Linked DNA regions of Arabidopsis thaliana. The protein of the gene in region 2 interacts with the protein of the main gene of each other region in a biochemical or structural test. Each region holds a gene or a part of one and is shown on either strand. Other genes may lie near its edges.

Region 1 (4,850 bases), on a different chromosome or scaffold from region 2:
CGAGCTTGGGAAAAAGAGCCTAGAAACCCAAATCGAGCATGGAAATGGAAGAAGAATAGAGCAAACCTGTGGCGGGGCAAGGAGACCAGGATGGTAGAGAGACTGTTGCTGCATAAGAGCTTGCTGCATCATAACTTGTTGCTGCTGCTGCTGCTGCTTCAACCTCTGCATTTTCTCTCTCGGGGAAAAAATTATTGTCTTTGATTTTGCTTTTCGTTCCCAGGTAATGAAAATTGACACAGTGTTCTGTCTTTTAGGGTTCGAAAGTGTTTTCGGTGTTCGAGAAAAATGTAAGAAAAATGACAAAATATTAATAACAAAAAAAAAATGAAGAACAGGAAAAAAAAAAGGAAGTCTCTTGATAGAAAGCGAAGGAAGCAATCGAGTGGCTCTTACGAATTTTATTGGATTTATTATTTTTACACATCGATTAGCTAAAGTCACAGGCTGTAAGAAAATTTAAAAAGCAACAGCCAATGAACTCGTCCCACGTTAAACTTATGGCTCAGGCCCAATCACTGTCCAAATCAGACACGCCTTCAATGAACTTGAACCTGACAACTAATTACAATAAACACCCCTGAGTTTAGTGAAAACTTGATATACACTCCAATAATAATCATTTTCATAAATTACACCCTAAATAAATTAGAAAGGAGCTCTGATCACTTTCAACCATCTTTACCCGCATTACGATTGCAGTCAGATTCCTCTTCATGTTATTGCAGTCAGATCAATTCACAACTCCTAAATATTCTTCCTCTTGTCTAATTTGCTATTTCTCGCTTAACGTTATGTAATTTAACTCCCAAGTGTTGTACGTAGTTAACTAATTATAATATAACTTTACTATCGTCTATTGTGTTTATGAATGAATATTCAAGTTAGAATAAGATTACATACTGTAGTACAAAGCAAAATAAAATCACTTAGATAAGTCAGAAAAATCGAAACGTTAATCTAAAAACTCAGTTCCTACAAGAAATTTAGCAAATATTACTATAGCCTTAGATCGAGATCTTTCGAACTTTGGCCTTCTTCAATCTTCATAATATCATCTTTATCACCGTCTGATTTGATATGGGCCATGGTTTGACCAATGGCGTTATCCGGCGGTCTTTGTGACGACTGTCCTGCCTCTAGTGGTTGACCGGTTACAATCTCTGGCTTGGGAGGATAACGATGATGACCTGCGTTTTGGTTAACTTGGTACGGAGCCCTAGCCACAGCTCTGCAACAGAAAAATTAATAACGTAAATTACGAGGCTTGTTGAGGATAATTTAGGAGAACTTATATCAGAGGGAGGATCCTTAAACTTTTGAGTTTTGAACTAACTAGAGTGATTGGAAATTTGGAACATTAAAACAAGTTTCAAAAAGTATGATAAGGTTAAATACCTGTCTTTCCGTTTAGCAAAGAATCGATGGAGGGAAGCTCTACGTGCTATACGTTCCACGATCTGATTTTGTTCTTGTTGCTGTTGTTGTTCCTTTGTTAGGTGATTATTATCAGTAGGCTCATTGAGATCAGGAAGAACCATGCTGCTCTTGTTGTTGTTGTTTTCGTCATTGATTGGTGTCTGAATGTTAATCTCAGTCACAGGCTTGGCTTGTTTTGCTACTTCCATAATCTCTTTAGCTTTGTCTACGGGGAACTCATTATATACTAAAACTTTCCCTCCGAAGAATATGGTCAGCTGCGAACTTCCTGGCTGTGATTCACTGCAAACCAAAAACAGATTTCAGAACAAAACCAATTTTAACCGGATTAACCGATTATCCTTTTCTCTAATCTCCAATAACCAAAAACAACAAGTATTCCCAAGGAACAAAAGGAGAGACCTGAGGTCAGCAACATCTTTGACTTTGCCTCCTGATGAGGTAGAGGGTTCGCCTTTGGAATGCCCTGCCTTATGCATCGCATTTTGTTTCCCTGCATAAAGAGAATAAAAACTTTCGTGAACTATAATAACTTTAGAAAAATGATATAGCATCTTATATCTTTGGAATTTTATTAACCACATCTCAATCAATTTCTATATCAACTTATTCGTTATTTTTGTTACTTGTCTTCATAATTACAAGGAGAAATTATTTCTGAAGTAAGGAACTGACTTACAAATGAAGAAACAATACAAAAGTAGTAAATCTGGCAAAAGCAAGTAGTAACAGAACTGAGTTTTTAAAGTACTATTACCAAGTGGCGGCCATGAAAGAAGAAAGAGATAATAAAAGTACCTGGTGGATCGAATTTTCCGGGCAACGCGAGACTGGAATCGGGTTTTCGGTATAAGCCAAGATCAATGTTTCCGAAACTACCCTTCTCCTTCAAGTAACGGCTGAGCAAACTACATCTCCGGGTAAAGTCAGATTTCTCCGGCGCTTGTGCCTTAGCATTTTCATTGCTCGACGACATGTTGTTGTTTATTGAGAAGAAAGAATTCTCCACACTTACTTTTTAAAGATATTCTTTATCTCTTCTTTTCTTTTCTTTTTGTTGGTGCGTGGATTGCGCGTAAAATGGAAGAGTACAAGAGGCTACTAGCTCAATAGCTCATGTGTTTATAAACTCATTCACCCAATAAGTTTCTGTGACTTTAATAGCCTCTCATAAATTAATGAAAACAAAAATAAATAGGAACTTTTTAGTTTCTTAAAAATATTTCAATATATTGTGACCAAAATAGAATTAAACTTCTCAATAATAAATTTATTAACAACAACCAAAAAAACCAAAAAACAAATCTTACATAAAGCCATGAGATTATATCATATTTAGTAATATTCCATCGCATGCATTTTTAACTAGTTAAAGAACTATATCTAGTGTGAAGAAAGGAATTTTCATCCATGATTAATAGTAAGAAAATTAATGTTAATAATCCATCATTGTGCAAGTAATTTATCTATTGTTTTATGAGTTGGTACAACAAATTTATTGCCCTGTCTTATCATAAAAATATGTTCACCTCTTGTTTCTTGTTTGGCACAGTTTAGTTGTCTACCATCAACGGCCAGATTTCAAAATTGGACTACTTTTTTATATATATTTTCGGTTAGAATTTACCGCACGTTTTCCTTACGCGTAACGATAAAAGAGAAAAAGAATAAAGATTTCAGAACCGACGGCAAACGTTATTAAACGGCGTATGTCACAAATTCGTAAAAGACTCGAAATTTGATCGTATTTACAAAATTTGCCCTTCCACAAGAGCACATTACCAACTCCAGTGATGGCATCATCGTAATAGAAACAACTTTCATGGCCTTTTTTTACATCACCGCGACGTTCCTCACGTTAGTTAACAAACTTAACGGCGGTGCGAATTGAATAGTAAGTGGACCAATGTGGGATCCTACCATCAAACCCCTACGAAGTTTCATGTGCCATAAAAATTCAAAGTCTCCGATACGATCCGACAGAAGTTTTTTGATTAAAACACGTGGTTTAAATAGAACAGACCGTCAAGATTGTGACACGTATCGCAATCTGTACGACGCACTAGCAACAGTATCGTGTGAATCGCGTTTTTCCCACTTTCCTATAGAAAGAAAAAAGGAAAAATCTTAAGATCACCTAATCAGTTTGGTCAAAAATAAAATTGATGGATCAATTGACCGAACTGCCCCTTTCACGGATGCCCATAATAATCAATACGTTCGTTGGTTGCTTCAAAACTACGACTCGTTCAAAAAAACGTGTTCGGGGAAAATGATACCAAAGATATAAAAAGTTTAGATGTGACTTAGTTTAATAAGTGTTGTTGATGGGACTAAATGAAGCAAGATTAGAGCAAACCGAGTGATCGGCCAATTGATCGAACCAGATTGTCAAACCGGTTTGGTAACTCGTTACCCCTAGCTACGCCACTACACTACTTGCATTGTTGCAAAGACCAAGTGGCTGTTGTGTTTTGGAAAAAAAAAAAACGTTCTGGGGTTTAGAAAAATTGGGTAGCGAATGGGTCCTTTTGAAAGTGATATTTTTTTTTGTAGAAGAGGGGGGCGAACCCCCATTTTTATTAAAACTGAAAAAACTAAAAAAATTACACTTGAACGTTCCGGGGGTACGCAGACCCCGCTACATCATCGTGAACAATCGACATAACAATATCCGGAGTAGAATTAAACAAATGAAAACCTAACGGTAAAAAAAAAGCATAGTTAGCTAACCCATCCGCGAGACGATTAGCTTCTCTATACACATGCGAAATCCGGACTGACCAGTCCTTTGAAAGTAAGCCATGGCACAACCGCACCAGGAAGGACAGCGGATGCGAATCATCAATCCCTGTCCGAAGAAAACCCACTACCATCTCCGAATCAATCTCCATCTCCAACTGTGTGACACCGCGCTCCCAAGCGATATTTAAACCGTAATATGCTCCCCATAGTTCCGCAAGCGGAGCCGAACAAATTCCAATATTCAACGAAAACCCATAACACCAATTTCCATCCCCGTCTCGAACTACTCCACCTGCTGTAGCTAGTCTCGGGTTACCACGCGAAGCACCATCAGTATTGAGCTTAAACCAACCCACCCTTGGCGGAGACCACGCAATCAATCTCTCCTCCCTAGCTGTCCGCGTCGTCACTCCCATTTTGTGCACATGCGCCTTCCAAACATCCAACGCACGATCCTTAATAAAACGAACCCGATCCCGACACTTCTTGTTCTCGCCAAAGATGTTACCGTAACGCCATTTCCACCCCCACCATATGGCCTGCGAAAAAGTGACCGCCCATGGACAACCATTAATCTCTATCTCCTCTCCTAAATTCGCATAGATCCATTCTAACAGCGATTTCGAAAAGAAAGAAGAGAGTCTCCGTACTGGTAACAAGCGGGT
Region 2 (4,894 bases):
TAATTTCAAGACACTGGTGAAATTTTGAAGTCAACAATTCTGAAACCTTAAAACATAATCTGATGATTCAACCACACTAAAGTCAACGTAATGCTACACATTAGCCAACAATTCTGAACACCTGAGCACGGTTTAAGCTAATTCCCTTATAAAGGCCTCAAAAGCTTAAACCTTAGCCAAAATCTGAGCTAGAGTAATGCCGAAGAATTGGATCAGATGATGAATTGTTTACCTGACGAAGCTGATATGAACACCAAGATTCCGGTGAGTAGCTGAACAATCGATGCAGAGGAAAATCCCATATGTAACCGATGCCCAAGTTGGATTCTTCGCACTACAATCGAAGCAGACCTAAATTGGCAAATCAAAACCAAAATTAGCATAAATGAATCAAAGATCTAGTCAAACAACTCTCAGATCTAAACATACACAATATCAAATTGACGATACTCAAAGAAAGAGAAGAATTCAGAAAAAAATTTGATTACCTTGTTCTCAGATTTTGATTTGAGTTTTCTGAAAACAATGTTTTTGTCGGTAAGATTGTCAGCAGAAGAAGAAGCCATTGTAGATCAAATTGTTCAATTTGATCACCTCCTTGAAGAAATTTGAAAGATTTTTTAATTTGAAATCTTTCTTCTTCAAAATCTGTAAATCTAAAGGAAACAGTACTAACGTTTGATGGAAACATTTGATCTGACTAGACTGACGAAAACACCCTGAATAAACTCTAGAAATTACGAAAATGGCATTACGTAGAAACGACACGTAGTGTGTAAATTCCGTTTCTGAAGCAACATGGATGATATAAAACGGACGAAAGCTTATCATTTTCACCTTTTCTTAAACCTCAATTCAAAGATTACTTCCTAATTTGTCTAATCGTGTGTTATACATTTTTCGTATTAATATTATGTTTATCATATGGTTTAATACGTACAGGATTTGTTTTTAATATCTGAAGTTAACATGTATTAGTAAATTAAAATACGACTTTTTATAACTCCAGGTTTTCAAACTAACTAACGGTTTTCATTTTTGCCTTCTTTCCATAATATGTCTCACACATATTATATGCTAAAAGTTTCGCTATACTTGTTGTTGACCATACACTAAAAAATGTCAAATGTGAAATATTTGCGGGCTAGTTTTATTAACTACCCAAAATGTGTGAGGCCCAATATAAAGTAAAGCCCAGCTTAATTTGTTTTGTTTGCTTTTATGCGATTCCGAAATGTCACTGTACAGTAGACACTATAGTTTCGTCGGATATGAACATAGAGAGACCAACATTTTTGGGCATTTGCTCTCACTGAAAAAGAAAGCATATTATGAAATCTGGCCACTAAAAACACGAGACCCACACGACATAATGTGATTATTTTTGTGTGGTCGTATAATTTTCGTAATTAAATCTAATTCTGTTTTAATACTATACCTTTTATTTTCCTTTATGCTCTTGCGTCTCTTTCACCTTTGATATCAAAATCACCCATGTCTTTTTTTTGTTCTTTATCATTGCAAAAAGTTGTGTCCAATAACGAAGCCAACAAAAATATGTTTATAAGAAAATGTTAAACTACAAGTCTACAATATTTGCTTTATAGGTTTTGTATATAAATGTTGTATCCAAATCTTTGGTGTTAACACTCCCTTAATCCCTTTAAATCATATTTTCCTGCCTCAAAGAACAACTGCAATTCTACAAACTCATTGTTTAAATTAATTGATGCTACTTGCTTACAAGAATTAAATGATGGGATTAATCACAAGAAAAGCAGATATTGACACCAATACCAAAAGTGAGGGAGACAAGATCATTATTGTAAGTGAAATATCATTTTCATTCTTTAATTGTTCTTAATTATCAACTTTGATGTAAAAGGCTCCTTGACAAATTTGATCCGATTCTCTTACATAGATTAGTAATTTTCTTGTAAAACAATTACTATTCAGAAAAAAATTGTTTTCAATCAAGTTATGTATATAACCCAACTTCAGAAATAACTCAATCAATAATTCATATTTGGTGAAAATAAAAGTACTATTTCTTTTTCTTTAGAGTTAAAAAAAAAAAATGAATATAAACAGATTCCTTTTCCCGAAACAATCAAACCAAACACAAATATTTTGCTTAAAGAACTTACTTCTCTCCTCTGTCTCTCACCGGAAAAACAAAAAGTCTTCTCTTTTATAACTACGTCAGAGAACTGTTATGTCTCCGACGAATGTTCAAGTAACCGATTACCATCTCAACCAATCAAAAACGGATACAACAAATCTCTGGTCAACCGACGACGATGCATCGGTAATGGAAGCTTTCATCGGCGGCGGCTCCGATCATTCTTCTCTTTTTCCTCCACTTCCTCCTCCTCCTCTTCCTCAAGTCAACGAAGATAATCTCCAGCAACGTCTCCAAGCTTTAATCGAAGGAGCAAACGAGAACTGGACTTACGCCGTGTTCTGGCAATCATCTCACGGTTTCGCCGGAGAAGACAACAACAACAACAACACAGTGTTGTTAGGTTGGGGAGATGGTTATTACAAAGGAGAAGAAGAGAAGTCTAGAAAGAAGAAATCAAATCCAGCTAGTGCAGCTGAACAAGAGCATCGTAAGAGAGTGATTAGAGAGCTCAACTCTTTAATCTCCGGTGGTGTAGGAGGAGGAGATGAAGCTGGAGATGAAGAAGTTACAGATACTGAATGGTTCTTCTTAGTTTCAATGACACAGAGCTTTGTCAAGGGTACTGGTTTACCTGGTCAAGCTTTCTCAAATTCAGACACGATTTGGTTATCTGGTTCTAATGCTTTAGCTGGATCAAGTTGTGAGAGAGCTCGTCAAGGTCAGATTTATGGGTTACAAACAATGGTGTGTGTAGCGACAGAGAATGGTGTCGTTGAGCTTGGTTCGTCGGAGATTATTCATCAAAGTTCAGATCTTGTTGATAAAGTTGACACCTTTTTCAATTTTAACAATGGTGGTGGTGAATTTGGTTCTTGGGCGTTTAATTTGAATCCAGATCAAGGAGAGAATGATCCAGGTTTGTGGATTAGTGAACCTAATGGTGTTGACTCTGGTCTTGTAGCTGCTCCGGTGATGAATAATGGTGGAAATGACTCAACTTCTAATTCTGATTCTCAACCAATTTCTAAGCTTTGTAATGGAAGCTCTGTTGAAAACCCTAACCCTAAAGTTCTGAAATCTTGTGAAATGGTGAATTTCAAGAATGGGATTGAGAATGGTCAAGAAGAAGATAGTAGTAATAAGAAGAGATCACCGGTTTCGAATAATGAAGAAGGGATGCTTTCTTTTACCTCTGTTCTTCCATGTGACTCGAATCACTCTGATCTTGAAGCTTCAGTGGCTAAAGAAGCTGAGAGTAACAGAGTTGTGGTTGAACCGGAGAAGAAACCGAGGAAACGAGGGAGAAAACCGGCGAATGGAAGAGAAGAGCCTTTGAATCATGTAGAGGCAGAGAGACAGAGAAGAGAGAAGTTGAATCAGAGATTCTATTCTTTAAGAGCTGTGGTTCCTAATGTGTCTAAGATGGATAAAGCTTCTCTATTAGGAGATGCTATTTCGTATATCAGTGAGCTTAAGTCTAAGTTGCAAAAGGCTGAATCTGATAAAGAAGAGTTGCAGAAGCAGATTGATGTGATGAATAAAGAAGCGGGAAATGCGAAAAGTTCGGTAAAAGATCGAAAATGTTTGAATCAAGAATCGAGTGTGTTGATAGAGATGGAGGTTGATGTGAAGATTATTGGTTGGGATGCAATGATAAGGATTCAATGTAGTAAGAGGAATCATCCTGGTGCTAAGTTCATGGAAGCACTTAAGGAGTTGGATTTGGAAGTGAATCATGCGAGTTTATCGGTAGTGAATGATCTTATGATCCAACAAGCGACTGTGAAAATGGGGAATCAGTTTTTCACGCAAGATCAACTCAAGGTTGCTCTAACGGAGAAAGTTGGAGAATGTCCATGAATTGAAGTCAGCATCTTTAGGGCTAATACACCGGAGAATACTGCGAAAAGTCGAAAACAACGATCATAGTATAAGCCGCGGTAAAAAGTGTTAAACCTTTCACACAAGTTTCTCTAGTGAATGTAGTTGTAAACTCTATTGTGTAAGGGTAATTTTGTAGTACCCACTTGTTGCTATTGAATGCTTGTTAGAGAGGATTCTTAGTGTAGTATATGATTAGGTTGGGGTTTGTTGTTTCATGAGATAAATAAATGTGTTTGATCAATGGTTAAGTCTTTGGTTTGTTGGTGTATGTATGTAAATAAGGCTTTTGTTAGAAATAAGACAAATGGGACTGAAGTTGGAGTTTTTTGTTGTCTTTTGAGTTAAAGTTTGAGTATTTCACTTTCAAGTGAGTTTTTTGTGTTCATCATTTGGGACTAGTCATTGGGAAGTTGGCATCAAAAGAGGCATCTAATTTGTTAGGAACGAATATACCTACTTTTTTTTGTTTTCAATAGGGATAATTTAAATCAATCACAGCTATTTAGAGATTCCAATGTAGGACCTCAAAATTTATGTGGATGTTACATGATCATTATCGTTCTAAATAGTATTTTGAACCATAGATTACTTCAGAGTAATTAAGTTTGTCGCATAAATCATGATGCACAACATGCAAATGCTAAATGGATTTCTTGATATTGACAGAAGAAGTGAAACCACTAGAATAATACCCTTTAAAAAAATAAAAAAAAATCAATATATGTCATAAAGGTCCAAAATGGTGAAATCAAAATGAAACATGGGGATATAAACATAAGATGTCTTAAAAGGGTTGTGGGGGAGGGAAAGCGAGGTTATGAATCTTTGAAGAAAAAGTTAAAATCATACAAAAAAATCGTGGAGACATGTGTGGTCGATTATTAA
Region 3 (5,035 bases), on a different chromosome or scaffold from region 2:
AATACTTTAAAAGATGATCAAAGTTAAAGTTATCCCAAAATTTATTTGCATTGTTTCGTTGAATGATGTGGTAGCATTAGTCTTTGATCTTAGAGATTTGGTCTTGAAAAATGCACATATATAATTTATTACAAGTTTATACGGGATCATTTTGTAGATATATTTATGTAAATATAAAAAAAGTTAGAAAATATTTTTTTATTTTGATGATTTCAGTCGGATGATTGAGTGGTTATGGTAGCGCTACCAAAATATTTCATAATTTTGATGTTTTTATGAGTTATGATGTATAAATCATTTATAATAAATATGTTATGTTTCATCGTTTGTCATAACTTGGGCACATGTTAAATATATGTACTAAAAAATTATGCCGACCTGTTCACTTTTAGTGACCGACCCTAAATTGAAATGACCAAAAACTGGATTGGCTTGGTTTGAAAATTTTGGTTCTGGTAATAATCACATGCCTAACCAGACCTGAAAATTTTGATCTGAGGTCCCTACTAATCTCTCCGGTTAGTATTTGATGATTTCTCTGTATGTTTCTTGGTCGTGATTTGCTTATAAGGACACTAAGTCTTTCATGGTCATTTTTGAGTACTCTTGTGTTCTTATATAGCTCTGAGACCTTATCATACAGCATCAACATACATTGTGAAGAAAAAGAAATCATCTTCCTCAAAGAGGAGGTGCGAGATGATAAACACATCAAATCACAAACATGGAAAACAATTTTGTGTTTTGTCTAAGAAACATAGGCAGATGATTATCGTACAACAACGGAAGGCTTATATATGAGCTGTGTTAATCTTGTCAAAGATAACTGTGATACTGAGTTGCTTCGAAAGTAAGGTTTGAGGTTAGCTTACAGTCTTGGAGCTCATGTCACAATGGGGCTGGTTTCATTTTTGTCTGCTTCCGAAGTCGTAGCAGAGTAAGGCTTCGTGTGGACAAATCTGAAAATAAAGAGGGTCCAAGTTACTATTAGATGAAATCTAATGGTCAAACTCATAGGTGAGTGATGGAGAAAGATGAGAGTATATGTTTATAAAACAAGCACTGCAGATATGCCTACCGATGCCGTCTTTTCTCAAAAAATCTTTGAAGTGAACGTCTCCTAGCAATTGGCACATCTGAGATAAACATGCATCTTACATAAAGCTCATGGGGTTTTCCATACTCGGACTATATAACGTTTACGGTAATCCAATGTAGCAAGTCCTTACCTGCTGTCGATACGCAAGCTACTGTTGATGCGTTTGAGAATGAAATAGCTCTCTTTAATGCTGGATTTATACTGGTCAAATTAATTGTCTCAGTGGCTTTAGCTGCAGCAGCGATATGCAGAATTTCTTGAACCTATTAAGTGTGATCACCAAGAGAACAAGAAATCTCATGCAACTGCTTCCCAACAAAAACGAAATACGAATGTACTCAAAACTTGGATGGACCAAACCTTTTCAGCTGGAATACCATCAAATACGCTAAAACTCCCACCAAAAATAATGGTTAGTTGACTTGGAAGGATCATTGAACCATCTGGCTTCGTGGACCTTCAATAGAAGAAACAAGAGCTAGTTATGAATGATGGAAGATAATAATAATCCACCCAAATTTTAAGACCCTATTGATGCAAAAGGGAGAAGAACAAAATAGTGATTCCACTACAATATTACAGCCGCTTAGGCTATCAACTAACCTCAGTCCCATCAATACATCAGTTCAAACAACCTACTAAATTTAAATCATCTGATGATGTCATCTAACAGTAGATAGAAGGCTATTTTTGCATTCAACGGTACCAAAATCAAACACACAAGCCTAGTTCAAATTCAAGCTCATAAAACCGATACTAAAGAATGGGCAACAACATCTAATGTATTTGTGAGGCATGATCACTAAGAAATACACAATTATCTGGTGGCCATAAGTCAGCCAAATATGATATAGAAGTAGAATAATACATGAGAATAAAAGCTTAAACACTTGTAAGAAAAAAAACTAAAAGACTATCTCAGTTTCCGAAACCAGTCAATGTATACAAATTAACATTCACATAGATCCAGTCTCTTCATTTGCTTAAGCTTCAACAACCTACCTACACATGAAAATTCCTAAATGCAAGAACAATATTTGACGTCACAAACTAATACATACTAACAAATCAGATTCATACACACTAACACTTCCAGAACTATCAATATGTTAATAAAGCAAACACTGAATATCTAACTACCTGTCCCGTCTCTTCTCGAGAAATCTTTGAAGCGAACGTCTCCTAGCAATTGGAAGATCTGAGACAAACAGGGATTAATAGTCCGTAACTCCGTAGATAATGCTTACAGTAACCGAATGAAGCAATTGCTTACCAGCTACAGTTGAGAAAGAAAGAGCTCTGTTCAGTGCTGGATTGATACCGGTCACATTCTTCGTCTGTTTACCAGCAAAAGCGATGCGAATGATTTCTTGAACCTATTAAGCATTGATCACCAATACAATTAGAAACTCTGATGCAACCAACATAAACAAAATCAGAATGTATGTACTCAAAGCTAGATGGACCAAACCTTTTGTGCAGGGACACCATTGAAGACTCTACAACTCCCACCAAAGATAATAGTAAGTTGAGTTGAAGCATCTGGCTCTGTGGACCTTGAAACAAGAGTTTGAAATTAAACCTCTTGAGTTTCCCAAATTGATCTGCTAATTTAACAATTCATATAGATCCAAGTCTCGTCAATTGCTCACGCTCCTATAGTGTACTAAGAACTAACAAATCACAGAACTATAGGCTAAGAAAAAACTTCAAACACAAAGACAGATAAAGAGAAATGAGAATTAACGATTCAAATTGATTCCAGTTACTAGTGATACATACCTAGCTTCGTGAATCGATCTCTCAACGAGCAAGTCAAGTCCGGCGGAAACAGAACCGGTCCCGTCGGCGAAACTAGGAACGGGGAAATCTCCGTTTACCTCAGCCATGAGCCTCTCTGTGAATAATATCTGTCTTCTCCGTTTGATTGGGAATTGGTTCTCTTCTCTACGCAACGTTCGTTATTCGGTGTATTCATTATTCAATCAATTTTGTTTTCTTTTTGTTTTTCTCAGAAATATTCCAAAAAAACCTCAACTATTTGATTATTTTATATATCTAACTACTTATCTAATAAGTAATAATGCCTTACCAAAAAAAAAAACTACTTATCTAATAATACCTATTTATTTTCATTTGTTCTTGTAATATAGACAACTATTTAAAAAAATAAAATAGTGGACAATTTTGTTCGATGTGAAAAACTTAATACTCTTTACGCATCCTTTTTAGTACATGCATACCGCCGTTATCGTATTGCTAAAATAAATTAAATAAGATATATTAACACAAAGCTAACTATATAATTATGATGAAAAAATCAAAATATGTAAATTAGTCGAAGAACATTGAATCATTTTGATATTGAGGAACCAAAAATTAGAAAGAAATAAGCAAAAAAAAAAGAAATAGAGAAACGATTTGGTTTTTAAAGTTTGAAAATCTAAAAAGTAAAAATATATGAAAAGAGAATTAAAAATGAGACACTCATATCATTTTTCTATGATAATTTCCAAAAAGGCAAAAACGTATAAACTAAAAAAATACAAAGTAAATAAGAAATTTCTTTTCGTTTCAAAAAAAAAAGAATTAATTTTTTAAGGATAAAACTATAATTTGTTTTTAGAGCGTATGTATAATCTGCCAATATTTCTAGTTTGGGTTTTATTTGTCACTAATAAATTAGTTTGAGTTTTTTGACAACCGAAAAAGTTGAGGTTTTTTTGGCAAATTTTAATAGTTGAAGTTTTTTTTGGGAATTTTCTCTTCTATTTAAAACTCTATGTCGTAAAAGGTACAACAGTGGAAGCTTCCACTTCACCAACAATTCAGCTTATAAGCGGAGACCCAACTTAAAAAGTCCAATCCATAAAGATACCCCTTTAAGGAACTAAGAAATATAACAAATCCAACACAAAACCATGTGTGAGCCTATGAAGTAAAGTTGAAGTAGATGTTGTCGCCGTTCGCCGCTCATAGCCGATATGGTACGAAGCGTAAGGGAACTCCAAAACTACCGAAAACCGTCAGAGCTTCAAGAAATAAGTCCACAGGTTTTTAACTAGAGAATCCTACCAACTACATCATCAAATCTGTAAAGAAAAGATCTTCACAAGGGCAATGACTCCCGAACTCCAAAGAACATCAACGTAGATATTAAGCCGATGGAGCTTTTCAGCAACACCTAAAAACAAAAAGGAAAACACTCGTGTCCATAGATCAATTAGACAAATAGCCTCAATTGTAGATCATTCGCCATCTGAGATCGATTCCAGTGAGAAAAATCATCATTGATTATAAAAGCAAGCTTGATTCTTCTAGGTTTCATTGTTCATAAACCAATCGAACATCAAAATAGAGATTTACAGCTAAAAGCAATATTAGTGTGCAATGAAATTGTTTTCTTTTCTGCAACTTAAGATGTAACTCTTTGGATTGATTCCTGCAAATCGCAAACTCAAAAGATCAAATTGGATAATAAACACCTTTAAGCAAAAAAACACCTAAATTTCCAATAGAGGATCTATGAGATTATTGAAAGAAAAAAAAAAAAAAAAACATCAGATACACTGATAAGAAAAGTAGATCCGGCCAACGATGGTCATGGAATTCGAACGCTGTCAGGCAAGAGCCAGCCATCACTGCTAAAAACGACAGAGATGTTAGATATAAAACCCAACTATATTAAAACACATAAACGTCGGAATGCCATCAGGCCAGCGAAACAAAAGAGAAAACTTTCCCTTTTCTCTAAGATTTTTTAGAGAGAGAAGAGAGAGAAAGCTCGAAAACAATCTATTTCTTTCTCATTTTGTTCTTTTTTGTTTGTTTAAATGTGTAACTTAAGAAAAAAGAATAAAACAAAAAAAGGCATCAAGAATTTAAAACGTGCGTGAAAATAATACGTCGTCGCTTTGAGACTTTCCTTTTGAGAAA

The links. The genes of interacting proteins can lie anywhere in the genome.
Region 1: the proteins of MYC4 (region 2) and JAZ5 form a complex in vitro, tested with the Arabidopsis thaliana proteins (one study listed by BioGRID).
Region 3: the proteins of MYC4 (region 2) and JAZ11 form a complex in vitro, tested with the Arabidopsis thaliana proteins (one study listed by BioGRID).

The regions. Positions count from the first base shown.
Region 1 is NC_003070.9:5,954,655-5,959,504, forward strand, and holds JAZ5 (jasmonate-zim-domain protein 5), read right to left. Parts: upstream 2,858-4,850; 5' UTR 2,417-2,857; coding exon 2,239-2,416; exon of another isoform or gene 2,025-2,238; coding exon of another isoform or gene 1,934-2,024; coding exon 1,843-1,933; intron 1,723-1,842; coding exon 1,399-1,722; coding exon of another isoform or gene 1,332-1,398; exon of another isoform or gene 1,232-1,331; coding exon 1,000-1,231; 3' UTR 501-999; downstream 1-500. Other genes in the region: UBP1B (oligouridylate binding protein 1B), read right to left, coding at 67-171. UniProt on the Arabidopsis thaliana protein: Repressor of jasmonate responses.
Region 2 is NC_003075.7:9,932,793-9,937,686, reverse strand, and holds MYC4 (Basic helix-loop-helix (bHLH) DNA-binding family protein), read left to right. Parts: upstream 1-2,001; 5' UTR 2,002-2,215; coding exon 2,216-3,985; 3' UTR 3,986-4,361; downstream 4,362-4,894. Other genes in the region: AGD8 (ARF-GAP domain 8), read right to left, coding at 233-351, 489-566. UniProt on the Arabidopsis thaliana protein: Transcription factor involved in jasmonic acid (JA) gene regulation. With MYC2 and MYC3, controls additively subsets of JA-dependent responses. Can form complexes with all known glucosinolate-related MYBs to regulate glucosinolate biosynthesis.
Region 3 is NC_003074.8:15,365,623-15,370,657, reverse strand, and holds JAZ11 (jasmonate-zim-domain protein 11), read right to left. Parts: upstream 3,113-5,035; 5' UTR 2,989-3,112; coding exon 2,882-2,988; intron 2,656-2,881; coding exon 2,571-2,655; intron 2,476-2,570; coding exon 2,373-2,475; intron 2,298-2,372; coding exon 2,240-2,297; intron 1,557-2,239; coding exon 1,460-1,556; intron 1,363-1,459; coding exon 1,230-1,362; intron 1,137-1,229; coding exon 1,079-1,136; intron 960-1,078; coding exon 884-959; 3' UTR 501-883; downstream 1-500. UniProt on the Arabidopsis thaliana protein: Repressor of jasmonate (JA) responses. Targets MYC2, MYC3 and MYC4 that are JA-dependent transcription activators.